Linked DNA regions of Schizosaccharomyces pombe. The protein of the gene in region 2 binds, or shares a complex with, the protein of the main gene of each other region. Each region holds a gene or a part of one and is shown on either strand. Other genes may lie near its edges.

What was found.
Region 1: mrps17 (region 2) and rsm18 share a complex: the UniProt entries of both Schizosaccharomyces pombe proteins name them as parts of the mitochondrial small ribosomal subunit.
Region 3: mrps17 (region 2) and rsm25 share a complex: the UniProt entries of both Schizosaccharomyces pombe proteins name them as parts of the mitochondrial small ribosomal subunit.
Region 4: mrps17 (region 2) and mrps16 share a complex: the UniProt entries of both Schizosaccharomyces pombe proteins name them as parts of the mitochondrial small ribosomal subunit.

The regions. Positions count from the first base shown.
Region 1 is NC_003421.2:723,534-727,292, forward strand, and holds rsm18 (mitochondrial 37S ribosomal protein bS18m), read left to right. Parts: upstream 1-2,456; 5' UTR 2,457-2,476; coding exon 2,477-2,977; 3' UTR 2,978-3,259; downstream 3,260-3,759. Other genes in the region: protein kinase Wee1, read left to right, coding at 1-1,334; SPOM_SPCC18B5.05C (phosphomethylpyrimidine kinase), read right to left, coding at 3,497-3,759. UniProt on the Schizosaccharomyces pombe protein: Component of the mitochondrial ribosome (mitoribosome), a dedicated translation machinery responsible for the synthesis of mitochondrial genome-encoded proteins, including at least some of the essential transmembrane subunits of the mitochondrial respiratory chain.
Region 2 is NC_003423.3:1,165,602-1,169,330, forward strand, and holds mrps17 (mitochondrial 37S ribosomal protein uS17m), read right to left. Parts: upstream 1,697-3,729; 5' UTR 1,604-1,696; coding exon 1,331-1,603; 3' UTR 919-1,330; downstream 1-918. Other genes in the region: rib4 (6,7-dimethyl-8-ribityllumazine synthase), read left to right, coding at 209-646; rRNA processing protein Tsr2, read left to right, coding at 1,933-2,199, 2,461-2,733; DNA recombination protein Saw1, read right to left, coding at 3,086-3,448. UniProt on the Schizosaccharomyces pombe protein: Component of the mitochondrial ribosome (mitoribosome), a dedicated translation machinery responsible for the synthesis of mitochondrial genome-encoded proteins, including at least some of the essential transmembrane subunits of the mitochondrial respiratory chain.
Region 3 is NC_003423.3:4,290,396-4,294,154, forward strand, and holds rsm25 (mitochondrial 37S ribosomal protein mS23), read right to left. Parts: upstream 1,568-3,759; 5' UTR 1,294-1,567; coding exon 631-1,293; 3' UTR 501-630; downstream 1-500. Other genes in the region: nucleoporin Rae1, read left to right, coding at 1-77; PPR repeat-containing protein Ppr7, read left to right, coding at 3,202-3,759. UniProt on the Schizosaccharomyces pombe protein: Component of the mitochondrial ribosome (mitoribosome), a dedicated translation machinery responsible for the synthesis of mitochondrial genome-encoded proteins, including at least some of the essential transmembrane subunits of the mitochondrial respiratory chain.
Region 4 is NC_003423.3:553,959-558,304, reverse strand, and holds mrps16 (mitochondrial ribosomal protein subunit S16), read right to left. Parts: upstream 2,481-4,346; 5' UTR 2,413-2,480; coding exon 2,336-2,412; exon of another isoform or gene 1,907-2,335; coding exon 1,726-1,906; intron 1,460-1,725; coding exon 1,427-1,459; 3' UTR 1,057-1,426; downstream 1-1,056. Other genes in the region: sre2 (membrane-tethered transcription factor), read left to right, coding at 4,181-4,346. UniProt on the Schizosaccharomyces pombe protein: Component of the mitochondrial ribosome (mitoribosome), a dedicated translation machinery responsible for the synthesis of mitochondrial genome-encoded proteins, including at least some of the essential transmembrane subunits of the mitochondrial respiratory chain.

The DNA.
Region 1 (3,759 bases), on a different chromosome or scaffold from region 2:
CCGACTCTTATTTTATTCAACGGGAAAACACTCCTACAAATCACAATTCCATTCCTACTATTCAGTTGGAGAAAAGTTCCATGGACTTTTTGAGGTTCGATCCTCCTCCTTCTGCTGTAAAAACTTCTCACAACTATGGATTACCATTTCTATCTAATCAGAGGTGTCCCGCTACGCCTACTCGTAACCCATTTGCGTTTGAAAATACTGTTTCCATTCACATGGACGGTCGGCAACCTTCGCCTATCAAATCGAGAAATAATAATCAAATGTCATTTGCCATGGAGGAAGAAGCTGATGTATCTCAACCCTCTTCTTCAAGCTTTACATTATCCTTTCCTTCTGCTCTCACCTCGTCCAAAGTATCATCATCTACTTCACATTTGCTTACACGGTTTAGAAATGTTACTTTACTAGGAAGTGGAGAGTTTAGTGAGGTTTTTCAAGTTGAAGACCCTGTGGAAAAAACTTTAAAGTATGCAGTGAAAAAGCTCAAGGTAAAGTTTAGTGGACCAAAAGAACGTAATCGACTACTTCAGGAAGTCTCTATTCAACGAGCCCTTAAAGGCCATGATCACATTGTAGAGCTTATGGACTCATGGGAACATGGGGGGTTTCTTTATATGCAAGTCGAATTGTGTGAAAATGGTAGTTTGGATCGTTTTCTTGAAGAGCAAGGACAACTTTCAAGGCTCGATGAATTTAGGGTATGGAAAATATTAGTAGAAGTAGCTCTTGGGCTACAGTTTATTCATCATAAAAATTATGTTCATTTGGATTTAAAGCCTGCTAATGTTATGATAACATTCGAGGGTACCTTGAAGATTGGTGATTTTGGAATGGCCAGTGTTTGGCCTGTTCCGAGAGGCATGGAAAGAGAAGGTGATTGTGAATACATTGCGCCTGAGGTTCTTGCTAACCATTTGTATGATAAACCTGCTGATATTTTCAGTTTGGGTATCACAGTCTTCGAAGCTGCTGCTAACATTGTTCTTCCTGATAACGGTCAGTCTTGGCAGAAATTACGTTCCGGTGACTTATCAGATGCTCCTCGACTTTCTTCAACAGACAACGGTTCATCTCTTACTTCTTCTTCTCGTGAAACACCGGCTAATAGTATAATAGGCCAAGGGGGACTTGATCGCGTTGTAGAGTGGATGCTATCTCCAGAGCCTAGGAACCGACCTACCATAGATCAAATTTTGGCAACTGATGAGGTTTGCTGGGTTGAAATGCGTAGAAAAGCCGGAGCCATAATTTATGAAGGTATTCATGGATCTTCTTCTAACCCCCAGGGTGATCAAATGATGGAAGATTGGCAGGTGAATGTTTAAACCTTTTAGAGACTCTTGTTCTCAATGTTTATTACTGCGAAATTGCGAAATAAGGGAATGGCTTCCAAAATCTGTTTAGCTTCATAAAAGCAAACACTTTAATTATTTTTAAACGAAAAGTTTAGTGATTGGTGCTTATAATTAATTTTGGTTCATTAAATGCTTTTTTTTTATTTAAGGATACGTGTCCGTTTTAACCGAACCCTTAAATTTTAAAAAATTTTAAAAAATTATTAGATGATAGTTTTTCTATTTAATTTTTTGCCTTTTCACCGGATTATCTATTTGGTTTTCTTCAGTCAAATATCCGGTTAATTATATCTGAGGCAATATGATGATGGCTATGGAAACATGCCATTCAGTTCTTGATATGGGGAACTAGAATGTTTCCTTAATTTAAAGCCTTGACGCCGCACATACTGTACGTGCTTTGTCTACTGAAAAAATGTTAGTGAACGATTGTTTTTTATATCGCAAATCCTTTCTCTAACATGTAGACTCGGCTTCAGAGGAGTTATTATTCCTATTTTTCATCTATTTTATTGTCTAATTTCTTATGTCACTCGTTTGTTATCGACTTGATATGTTGCATTTACTCATCTTTGCTAGCATAAAGTTCGAATCCCGACTGTTTATCCACTTTTTTTTGACTTCTGTTTTCATAATAATTTAGATCGATCGATGACACTGCCTATTATTCTTGTACATAGTTTACGATCTTGCTGAATGGCAAATAATTGGTTATGTTTATGGAAAATGCCACGATTTACTAACGAAGTTTAATAACCCGTTAGATTTTTTATTATTATCATATCATATAATAATTAGTAATAATGTTAACGTTATGCTTAGTTCCACTTCTGTAATTTTTAATTTCCCTTTTTTTTTATGCTTGTGAAAGCTGTGTATATGCTCAAGTTTGTGATGCCTTCAAATTAGTATAGGATTTTAATGACCCGTTTAACACTTCATATCTAAATAAACATTTATTTTGAAACAGAAAAGTTAGAAAATTCAGGTATCATCACGTTTTCATTTATCAGACACAAGCATAAGCTATAAACTATTTAACGAGTGTCTCATTATTTCACTAAACACCTTCAAACATTGAAATATTACTTTGACAACAGCACGGGAGAAAAATGCTTGGGAGACGAATATTTTCTCCAGCTCCAAACAGAGGATTTATTTTATGCAATCTCATACAATCTAATAACTCTACGCGAAGAGGGTTTTCGGACAATCGAAAATTTAATGAGAGAAATTCTGAAGCATCTTCAAATGTAGGATTTCAGAGAAGAGTTCGCTCAAATATTCCATCATATTTATCAGCCTCCGTAGAAGAAGGTGATATTTACTCTCCCAATGATTTACTGTTTGAAACGGTAAAGGCGAAAAATCAAGCCAAATTCTATGAACCAGTAAGAGAAGATTGCTTTAAGACGGTGAACGAAAACCCTATGAATTATTGGAAAAACCCCGTAATATTGTCAAGATTCGTTACTGAACTTGGTCGTATTAAACCCAGAGGTGATACTGGCCTAACAGCAAAAAATCAACGACTTCTTTCTAGGGCTATCCGAAGGGCTCGAGCTGCTGGTATAATGCCGACGAAATACAAATCAGTTTATTCGGAAAATTAAATTGTACTGAATATTAACAAGGACGTTCTATATCTCATTTCATCACATTGGTAGATATACTTACCCACTGTCCCTTACTTTTTTTTTCTTAAGGAACGATAAACGATCTACTTTACTTTTTAAATGATTAGCTCACGTTAATTAATATTTCAGGTGTACTTTGGTTTTGAATAGTCTTTTTTGGATTAAAATATACATGACACAAAATCATAAACCGCTGCTAATATTAGTGGCTAACATTTTTTAATGGCTTTAAAAATATAATATCTTTGTTATCTTTAATTTTTAATTTAGCTTGATTGAACTTTTTTGTAGGAGGAGCGTTAGTCGATACAATGTATTAAAAAAATTATCTAGTAGTAGTTATTTTACTTATCTAAAGAGGACAGAGAGGGAAGAACAAATAATTATATGCAAAAGAAGAAAAAATCCATCTAGAAAAGAATTGGGTTTTATAGAACGATATTAAAACGATGAGTGCATCATGGAGCTAGTTCAAAATATATGCAATAGGGCTTTTCATGAAGGTATATGAGATAAAAGAACAGAAGTTAAATCAGCTTGTGGTATGTAATTCTCCGACTTTAACGAAATTAGAGATCCTGAGAACTTAGAAGAATGACCTAAAGCTGTAAATAGCTGAGCACTCTTATAGGGATCTGAACTCTTTTTATGAACCCTTTGAATGGCCCACTCGATTGAATATAAAGCTTCGTGAATGGCTTGCAAAGGTGGTATATTACAAGCCAGATTCGATGCAATGGCAGCTGTAAGAGAGCAAC
Region 2 (3,729 bases):
AAAAGAAGTTCGATATGTTTTTTTTTTTTAGTTGAACCTTTTCTTCTGAATACCGAATTTTATTTTATTTTCTACACGATATAATTATTGCTTAAGTGTTCTATTTACAAAAGCGCTTGGTCTTTTTTTTTTTAAATTTCTCCTCTTTCTCACGCAGTTTTTTCGTGAAAATAGTTAATTCAAAAGTTCTAATCAATTTTTTTTATAGGGACCAGAATTGCGCATTCTTATTGTCCATGCCCGCTGGAATCTTCAAGCCATTGAGCCTCTTGTTAAGGGTGCCGTTGAGACCATGATAGAAAAACATGATGTGAAGTTGGAGAATATTGACATTGAAAGTGTTCCGGGAAGTTGGGAACTTCCTCAAGGTATTCGTGCTTCCATCGCCCGCAATACATATGATGCTGTTATTGGCATTGGCGTTTTAATCAAAGGTTCCACCATGCATTTTGAATATATTTCAGAAGCTGTTGTTCATGGTCTTATGCGCGTTGGCCTTGATTCAGGTGTTCCCGTCATTCTAGGTCTATTAACAGTTTTAAATGAAGAGCAAGCTCTTTATCGTGCAGGTTTGAATGGTGGCCATAACCATGGAAATGATTGGGGATCAGCTGCTGTAGAGATGGGATTGAAAGCTTTGTATTAATTAAGTTGAATCCTTTGCTCATTTTTTTGTTAATAAAATATGCTACTGACTGTTTTGCTCTTCGAAAGGACCTACTGACATGCTAAAGCTTTAGTCATGATCCTTTATACATTGTCGCTTTCTTATGAGCACCGTCTTAGTTGAACAAGTATGTTTTTCATTCAATCGTTTGCAACGTATTTTCATGATTCCCCAGTTTGTTAAGATATACAGCTATGGGTTAATGTATACGATGTTTTAAATTTGCTTAAGACTTAATCCCAACTTATTATGTTTTGTAAGCTTTATTTTGAATATATTACTGTCTATATGCATCTTGTTCAATCACTTGCCCTTTTTACAAAAAAAGATGTTACAGAAGTATTATTGACATAGTTGTAAACAAATTTAAAGGCATTGAATGCTGGGAGCAGGAAACATGGTACTACAAGAGTAGTTTTCTTTTAGAAATGAATGTGATTTGAGACTCTTCTGATGCACAATCTACAATTTGCAACATTACGTAGCCATTGTGAATGTAAAAATTTCCAGTTAAAATCGATATCGGTGTATACAGGTAATTGGCAAGTTAAGAAAGAGCGGTCAATCACCGATTTACAATATTCATGACCACCGCGAAAGACTTATCACAATGGATCAATCGAAATCATTAGGAATCATCAAAAATTAATGGGGATTTTTTATTTACTCTTTCGAAATCTCCGATGCTGGGCTCATACGGTTGGCTGTGCTTAAGATTTTTATGATTTCAAAGCGTTTAGTCGCTGACCGAGGCCTACATGGCTGTATTGTAACTGCATCTCCAACATTACAATTTAAATCATCTTGAACCATATAGTTTTGATATTGGGTGACATACTTTTTCACCACTGGATGGAACTTTTCTTTTGCAACCCGCACTTTCGCTGTTTTTGGCATTGCACGAGAAATCACGATTCCCACATAATTTAGCTTCATTCTTCAGAGTAATTTTAGGATTAAACAAGAAAAGTAAGTAAGTCTAATCCTTTAAATACCCACAATAACTAAGTTATCAATGCGCACCGTTTTAGCAGTAGAGAGTTTTGACATTGCCCTATTTACAAATGTGCAATGAAGCGGCGTCTTTTCCCTTATAATTATTTAACATAAATAAGCTTTCCTTAAGTCAATTAATGATAATATATAAATGTGATAAACAACATAACGAGGATCGGAAAAGTATGTGTATTTTATTTTAAAGTACTTTATGGTAGGGTGACTTTGTAGAGAAGAAGAACGAGGGTTATTGACACTGTGTTTTCGCCATGTTTGACGACCCATCTAAGAGACTGACATATTTTGAATATGCTGTCGGTGTTCTTTTATGTTCATGGCCTGTTATGAAACAGGCTGTTGAAGAAGAATGGGCCGATGTCGATACCGCCGATAAACGAGACTGGATGGCAGGAGTTTTAGTTGATTATATTACAGTTACGAGCGATGTGGAAGCATGGGACGTTGAAGAATTGATTCTTCAAGTCCTGCAGGATGAATTCAATGTTGGTTCAATAGAAGACGACTCACCCTATATCGTAAGTATTCACCAATACTAAATTAGGTAAAGATTTTTTTCAAACAAGAAAGAACGTAACAAGCTTGCTTGAGACTGAAGATTCGTATATATATATTGGCACCGAAAAAATGATTTAAGTTTGAGGACGAAATATTGGAATATTAGTCAAAAGCTCGAGTTTATACACATATTGCGTTCTGTTGTCTATATTAAAAATTTTTTACTTCTATTAGCATTTAAAATAATTATCAAGTGATACGTCTATTAACAGTCTATTTAGTTGGCTCAAGATTTGGTTAATGTGTGGAAAGCTGCTTGCGAAGATAATTATGAACCTATTCGTGAAATCCATGAGCGTCTCGGAAAACAATTGCTTGAAAAGGAGGAAGGAAAGGAAAAAACTAGAGAAGAGTCAAATCCTCCGGTATTGGTAGAAGACGAAACGATTGTTGATGCTGAGGATGGAGGAGCTGCTCAAAATCAGCAGGAAAAGCAGCAGGGACCCATTGTTGATGATGATGGATTCACCGTTGTCCAGAAAAGACGTCGTTAAAGAGGATGTACTATTCTTATATCTTTTGGTATCATTAAATGAGCATTATTGCTGGGAGCAATTGGTTTTATCTTTTTTGTATTTTGGGGGATAATAAAAATTCAAGTTTTTGGTTTGAAAATTGAAAATTGGGATCGAAATAACTCTTATATTTTTTAAGCCTTTGTAATCCGTGTCATAAGAAGATGTAGTTAAAAGTATAGAAGAACGTGATCCGCCAAAATACGAATACGAGTTAAATTGAGCAGCTTTTTCACTTCTCAAATTTTTAATACTTGTTTTTTATGAGATTAGGCTGTAAATAGAGTGTATTTTAGTCATGCAGACGTAAAAAGGCGCAAAATACATTCTTTCATGAATCGAATGGTTGTACATAAATATGTATTATTTTACTAGTCATTGATCCTTTAAAACTCAACTGCAATTCTGGCTTTCGATCCATGTTTTCCTCCTCTTCAGCAGTATTTGGTAGTGCAAAATTTCTAGCAGTTTCGATGATTGCATGGCTTTGGACCGATTCACTCGTAATATCCACTACTCTTTTCTCGTAGAGCGTGCGGATGGATCCTTGGTTGAGAAATGCAACTGCATGCAATTCACGCTGTAGGGAAAAAAGGAAAGCCCGAATATCAAGGTCTTCTTTTGTTTTAAAATGAATTCGAACGTGACACAACAAGTTATGCCTCAACCTCACAATTTTCTCAACAGAACACATTTGCACCTTGGTGTCTGGTTAGATACGGGAGGATGGTCAACCATAGCCAAAAAAAGCAAATGACAAAACTCTTTGAATTTCTCAATACTCCATGTATTAAGTTAAATTATATACAACAAAAGACGACTTATAAATTTCAATTCTAAGATGGGAATACAGTCAAGTAAATGAGTCGTAAACATAACGACTTTTTAGGAATGCTATTTATTATTTATTTTTTAACTAGCCAAGTAGTTAAGTATATGAACAACAATAATCCTTCAAAAGAGAGAATCTAACAA
Region 3 (3,759 bases), 3.1 Mb from region 2:
CGCAATTGCCCAATAAAATCATGCTCCACCCTGTTCCGCAAGACGAAATAAAACCTCGACCTAAGAAAGGAAGGTAAATGATGGTAATTTTTAGAGTCTACATAGGTGAGATGGTGACCAATCCTGTTGAGGCATGAGTTTGGTTTTTTTGATATGTATCTTAACTTTTTGTTTGGGAAAAAAAGTGGCATTTCGTGATTCATGACTAAAATCAATTACTGGCAATCGTTTAATATTAGAAAAATTTTTCCTTTCCTGACAAAAAGTGTTATGGGTATAGACGCTATCATCTTCTTATCTATGTTGGCTGCTCAATAAATGATGAACTTTTTTTAAAGCACTTTTAAAAGTTTGGAGCGAAAGTTCGCTAGCTGGCTAAACGGCAGTGTCATCTGAAAAGCTTGCTATAGCTTTGAATAATATTTATAATATATATATATGTATTCAAATAGATGGTAGAAATTTAATGTGTTCTGATAGATTGTTTTAATTTGAAGACATAAAGAGATGAAAAATATCTGTTTTATTTTTGAAAGGGGATAGTACTAAGAAAATTCTGAAAAAAAAAAAAACAAAACAAAAATCAATTTTTGAGGAGACAATATGATATATCAGCTGTGAATTTAAATACTACTGAGTCGTCTTAGAGATATCTACACTCGGGTCTGTGAACTTTGTACGATTAGCCTCAGCGTATTGTGAAGCATTATCAAACCAAGAATTTAAAGCATTTTGATCCATTTCATAGCCCAACTCCAGATCAGATTTTGTAAATACAGCACCCAATGCTTGAGCCTGATCATGGGCAACGCGTTGCTGAATTTCTTGTTCAGCGCGTAGGTGATAAAATTCCTTTCTTGCTTGATCATAAGCATTTTCTACAGGCATGTTAGAGTTTTCAATCAGCCATAAAGTTCTTTGCACTACACTCTCGCCAGATAATGCTTTGCGCGGTTGATCCATGTGACTCCAATCACAATATTGCTGATCATTACCGTCATTTTCTGCAATGATTTGAGGCCTTGCTAGTTCCCAAGGATGATCTCGATAAAACCTTTTACGGAGTTTATCTTCTGGCCATTGAATTTCCTGAGGCTGATACATTGATTTTCGTAACCGTTTACCACGGGATTTTACCTTATTTGGATCGTACAATGGTACAATACGTCTAGCATATTGAAAGGTTGGGGGATGTTTAGCAACCGTTTCGTACCATAAAGACTCTGCTGTCCATGGCTTTTTCATTTCAGCTGCAAAGCTGCGTAGCAAACCATTTGCATTAAATTTCGGCATTGGATCTTCCTCCTGAAAAAGTTATTAAATAGTATATTAGTAAAATAATCAGTAATAGAAACGTGAAAATGGAAGTAAGGATTGAATAATGATTGAGATGGGTTAATTATGCAAAACACATCCACGGCGCTATAAATAATGGAGAGTATGACTTGAGGTAATAAACAATCGCTTATATGGATAGTCTGCTAAAAAAGTGAATTATAAGCGCAAGAAACCAACTTTTTTGGTGAAAATGGCTTCCAAGAGGAATTGGGCTGGCCAAGCTAGTGTTAGCTGACGGTACTAGTGTGCCTCATCTTAGTAGCTACTGAGTATAACCTAATGGTAAGATATTATGAATATTTATTTCAGAACACACAAGGATACGAACACTATTAATGAAATAGTTATTTATAAATTTAAACACATCTATTGCCTTTTTTTTGCTAAGATATGGCTTGTTTGTAAATTCGGAATTTAAACTAAGCGATTGTTCATCTAAATTAATTTTATGGATTGAAAGTCCCTATTATTTTTTAGATATTTTTTTTATAATTGCTAAAGGTATATAGAGTTTATTGCCTTTATTTTTTTATATTTTTTTATCAATCGTTAACGCCATAGGAAAGCAAGTTAAACTGCTTAAAAATTTTTTAATACTTAAAAATTTTTTGTTATGGAATAAACTTTTTTTTTTTTATACTTTTAATTTTCACTGATTTCATTAAATATTTACCGGCAGCCGTTAGAATTATTAATAACAATGGTTCAAAAAACTCCAAAAAAATTTTAAGATTAATTAGACAAAATCAATTATATGTTTCGTAAAGCAAATTAAATGGCTGTACTGTATTTGTGAAGCTGTATGCGTATTTGCTAATTTGATTTTGTCATAAACTGACTGAGTAAATTAGCGCAGCAAATGCCGCTACACCTAGCATGTTCTGAAGTGAAAATGAAGTGCTGCAAATATTTAAAGCCATTGATCGTACAGTATTATTATGAATGGACATCAACTACTTGAATTCTTGCCTGCTCATACATTTTTAGCAGTTATTTTCATTTCTTCACTTATAACGCAGTCATATTTATACTCCGTATTTGATTTTACCTGCTAGCTGGCAATCTCAATGCTAGAATACGATATTCGCTTCTGGATGATGAGTGTTATATAACCTAGGTAAGGTTAATCTGTAGCTTATAACGAAGAAGTAAGGTAAATAGACTACACTTGTGTTCTTTGACGAAAGTGTATTCGATGATATTGTAAATGCTGATTAAATACTAATGAGTCAACAAACGTGCCTAAATGCTGGTTGCATTCAATGCCATTCCTATATATGATGATGGCCGATTGATCGTTATTCATTAGCGATTCTTAAGAGGATCGATGAATGATAGTTTAATAGTTTAGAGGGATATTCTGCATTTAATTATATTAAGGGACCTCTTTTTTACTCATGAATGTTCTTTCCATGTTTACACAATAACGAGCTATTATAACAAAATAACGTAAATAAACTATAGCGATGGTTTCCGTTAATTCACTAACGCTGCCTGTTAATGAGGAAATAGCAATCTTAGGTTTTGCTTAGAACCCAACTTCGCAACGTTGGAAGGTTTGCTCAGTTAGCTGTATTTATACCACCTTCTGTTTTTTGGAAACCTTGGATGAAATGTTTAGATGCATTATTGAGCCTTTTCGCACAGTTTAATGTTTGAATTATCGCATCATATAGAAAGGGAACGGAAGTATATGCATCATCTCGTATCGAGTTCTCGTTTTCTTTTTTTATCAAGTACCCCCTTCTCTCATTAATAGTGATCCTTTTAATTTGATTATCGTTTCTTTTCTTCATAACGCGTCTTTTCGTTTCCACGCCTCTCGTTTTGGGGACGACTTTTGTCTGCTTGCCAGGCTAAGAGATGCGAAATTGTGTATCTCCACTACTTTTTGCATGGACAAAACATTTACGTTTAAGGGAATTTAAAATCCCTTTCCCAAATCGTCTTGTTGTGCGGTCACTAAACCAGCTTAGCGTTCATCATGAAAAGGTAACTGGGTGCAGGCCTCGACAAGCGTCTTCTGATGAATTACATAAATACTCGAAATCTGCTTCAAACGAAGCATTTCTCTCAAGTTTTGCAGAAAATCAATTATTTCACAAGTGTTTGCCTTCCAGCGCAGGTGCTGTTCTTAGTGAAAACGATTTAATGTACATTATCCGAAAAGTCAGTGAAGTCTATGCTGATAATAAAACTGAAAAGGTTACTGTGCCTTTTGACAAACATAAAAACCCATTCCTAATTTACGTGAAAAAACGGTTTGCCGAATGTTTTGATAAAAATCCTGATCTTTGCCTCATTGTGTATTCAAAACTGGAGGTTGAAACGTTGGCAAAAATAACTCCCATTTGGATTAATGTCGCCAAAAAAAATAAAAAAGAAGATTTTCTTGTTGAACTCTGCCTCCGTTTTTTAGAA
Region 4 (4,346 bases), 610 kb from region 2:
ATTTATGTGTGCTTTTCGGGCTGCTATAGTTTTCCGTCCTTAACAGTGTCCTTTTTTCTACTTTTGGGAGGATTGGCCCAAAAGCTCTCTTGGTTGTGCAATCAGGGCTTAAAATAATGCTTGAAAGTATATAGGTATCTTTCGCTCTTTAAACGTTCAACTGAAGTTTTACGATCAACGATTTTACTAAAGGTTCTTTTAACGGTTGGCTTTTAGTACGAAATCAGCACTTTTCATTTAGATTATCTATGCGGTATACTAGTTTATTACTTATATGTCGGTTACACATATGCATGTCAGGGAAAAAGCATTGCAATTTGATCTATACTCATTTCGAGATTTGGTAGTAGATTTTTTTTTTTCATTAAGTGATTTCTCGCTTTCTTTTTCAAGTTTATTTTTACATACTATTTGGTTTGTGATGTTTAGCTTGTATTTAATGCATTAATTGAAAATTACACTGTTCGGTGCATGAATAAATGTAGTGGTGTAGAGTTGGACTGGTTGATGAAATATGGTAATAATACCAAAGTAAATTGCTTCTGGTACAGTTAATAAATTAGCTTATAAGGCTAGTTCACCATTTATAATATTTTGTTACAAACGATTAAGTTGTTAATATTCATTGTTGAACGATTTTAAATCCTTTGAGACAAGTCTTTTATAAATTCAACGGAAGTACAGGAATGATTTGTTAGAATTGTACAACTATTGCAATTGGCTATTAATGAACGTGTTCAGTTCCAATTAAACGAATGAGGAAATCAGGAAAGCAACAAAGCGCATTGCCGTTTCCGAACGGAAAGTCCAAAAATCTAAGCAATAATAGATACACCGATATTAACCTAAATATTTGAAATGAAGCTGTTAATTTGTTTCTAAAAAAATAAGGGTATAACATCAGTAAACGAAATGAAGTTTCAGTATAAAGTGAAGATCCATTTTAACCATAAACGCAAAAGCTAAAAATTACAAAGGCAAAATATTGGTACCAAGATTTCTCATTACCAAACAATTTTAAGTACAAAGCAACAAGTAATTACAAATGGATAGCATCAAATTATGAGCGCTTTCAACTAGCGCATAACCTCAGATAGATAGACACTTTAAAAAATTTAGAAATTAAGATATCACTACGCTAACGATAATGTGGAGAAGGAATTAAAAAAAAAAAGGTGATATTGTAATAAAAAGAATCGTAAAGAAAACAAATATCGCACTCAGCCAAAAAACGTGGTTTTAAAAAAACAGTACGGAAGGGTAAAATCGGTCAAAAATTATGAAATTTAGTTGAGAGAGGTAATTAGCGTGATCACAGAGATAAAGTGTAAAAAAAAATAAAAAATGTGTTAAAGATATCTAGACATTGTGAAGTGGTCGTAAAAAAGAAATGTCATGACTTGAGCAATAACGATTATAGTGAGTTTCAAGAAACGGGTTTTTTAGGAAGCAACTGGAACTAAAAGTGAAAAAAGTAACGTTAGTAAGAATTGATAGATTGATAGAAAGAAGTAAAACAAGTAAATTAGTAGCCAAATCGTAACGAAAACAGGGATGAGATCCTACACTCCATTTCGGAAAGCCGGGCAGTTAGGGAACATGAGAAAAATCACCCGAGCGGTATATCGCAAGCGGGTCGAAAATTTTAGTCAAAAAAGAGAGTTGAAAGAAAGTTTAACGAATTTGGACTAGTCATAAAAATAGATAAAGAGAGCTTGGGCATACCTTTTCAGCTAAAGAGCGGACGGTGTCGGATGGTTGTGCTCCTACACTTATCCAATATTTAAAACGTTCAACGTTGAGCTGGATATCTTTTATACGAGGAATGGAGTCCTGAGAATCAATCTTCTTAGGGATGGGATCAAAAGTGCCGATGGTTTCGATAGGTTTGGCTTGAGGTGCTTTCCTATATTGAGTTAACAAAGTCGAACCAAAAGACAGGAATGGATGAAGGAGAAAAAAAAGGATGTACAGGTGATATGTAAACAGTTAATAGAGGCCAAGGGGGCCAAACCACAATAAATAGTCAATTAATAAGAAAAATTGTGGTTGGTGTCCTTGGCATTTTGAATACTATGTAGAAAGACTAGATTAAATAGATGAGAGCATCCAGGAATACCTGAAAACTAAAGCTTCTAAAAAAGATCGCAATTTAGAGCCAAAGGAACCGTCAAAAAAAAGCAGTCTTTTAGCATTTTATCTTCCATTCTTTCATAACCCACATCAAGCCATCTCCCTTACTAAATCCTGTACAAAAACTTTCCCCTTTACGTGAACCGCTACAAGTGTTGTAAAACACGAAACAACCGTCTAGGTATGTTTTCATCCTACTTACCATGCATTCGCAACTACGATATGGTAAAAAGGTCTATTTCTGACGCCATGACGCGCCAAACGAATTTTTACTACCATTGAGAAGAGCCGGTTTTCAACGAGTCCTACAAATCCCGTCTTTCCCACTTGGTGGTAGGAGTATGGTTAAGAGCAACTTGAGTAAACACGAAGACAATGCAGGTATCAAGGATGGAAAGCAGATGGACGTATCGTATTGTGCACTCCGTTGTTTATAAAATAGCGTTGTGCCTTGCTTTTCGTTCATACTTACAAACAAAACATAATTTCAAAAGATCATTTCAAACGTTTTCTGGGATAGAAATTACGTTCTTTTCCTTCCATTTATCTTTCTACTTCCTGCTGACTCTATTTCTCTTTATAAGCAGTGTGAATTGATCATATTCACTACCCCCGGAGTGAGATACAGCACGAATTACGGTAACACGAATACTACAAAGCGAGCATTCTCCACGTTGTTCAAGGTATGCTTTGCTTGTATCGAGTTTGCTAAACAGGAATACTGTAAGCGATTGTAGAATGCGTATACGAGATACCATAAACGAACGTTACTCATGTAATGCGTAGTTTGCCAACCTTCTTTTCACCACGCAATCCTTATAACGTAATGTTAATCGCTATAGACATTCCTTAGCTTAAGCGGCTTCGTCTACTTTTAGCTTTTTCCTCCCTCCCATAAATTCTACTTAGCGACAGCAAAACATAACTTAAGACTCGCGTAGATTGCGCATCCCTGTTGAATATTTAACTCCATCCGTTCTTGAAAATTTCTAGTGATCAAGAAAGCTATTGATTGAATCTTAGAGGGTTTTTGTTGCTTTCGTACGAATCGTTGTTTGGGGAGTTCGGTTAATTGGTATTTTGAGATTTCCCAACACCTAGGCTTCTTTTAGTTAGCATTTTGATCTTGTTCTGAATTGCCCATTCTTTTGGTGTTGTTACGAATTGCTGGATCCACTGACATTGATTTTTGCCATCGTACTCCCGGTTACTGTCAAGTCAGTGTGTTGTGTCGACGGATTCAAGCAAAATAGGAACATCGGATTGAAACGTTTCTTTGGACATCGCTTTGTGGATGAACGGTGCTAGGTTTTAGGCTAGTAGCAGTTTTAAGACTCATTACATATCGGAACACCTGAAGATTTGACGTTTACATCCTGCCTTGCGTCAGTTTCTACTCCTTTCTTCTCCGTCATCATATAATTGCTGTCAATTCCTTATAACGCAGCTTGGGGGCCAATTTTTACTATATTCCCCTTTATATATTTAGTTTTTATAAGTTTTTCTTCTTTCATTGTTTATCCTGTCAAGCTTGTTCATCTTGTCTCGTTTACTTGGTTAGTTCGTGAACGAGTGCGTTCTTGGGGTCGCTTACCTTGAAGATTCCTGTTCAACCCGGTTTCATAATAATTCAACTTGAAAGAGGAAAAACCTAATTTTTTGTTGTTTTATACTTTCCTTCGCTCAAAGACAACTACTATAGGCGTTTTCTTGGGTTCCAATTTTATTTGCTTTCCTACTACAATTTCCACCCATTCTATCTTTCCTTTAGTTTTCGCTTCCTCTCCTTTTTTGAAATAATCCCGCTTTTCTTCTAATTTCTCGTTTATTAAACGGTGTATTGTTAAATTTTTTTTTGCGGTTAGCGTTTCATCAACAAGAAGTTCGGAAATTCGAATTCTCTCCATTACTACTGAGTGTTTTTTCTTTTTTCTTTTTTTAATCTTTCTCTTTTTGTCTTGGAAACTTTTCATTCTTTAAATACCTATAAATACCTTTCGTTCTCCTTGACTCATATCCAAAACGACTGTTTGGTATTCGCTTCGCTATGTGTCCTTCCCAACACTCGTCGCTCAAGGATATTCATCGTCAACTCGAAAACACTGCGATTTCCAATCCCACTGAAAACGCTGATCCATCCAGTTATGTGGATGGCTCAAATATCATGGATTTCAAGCACCCATCCATAGTTTCGTCTTCAGCATCTTCTTCAT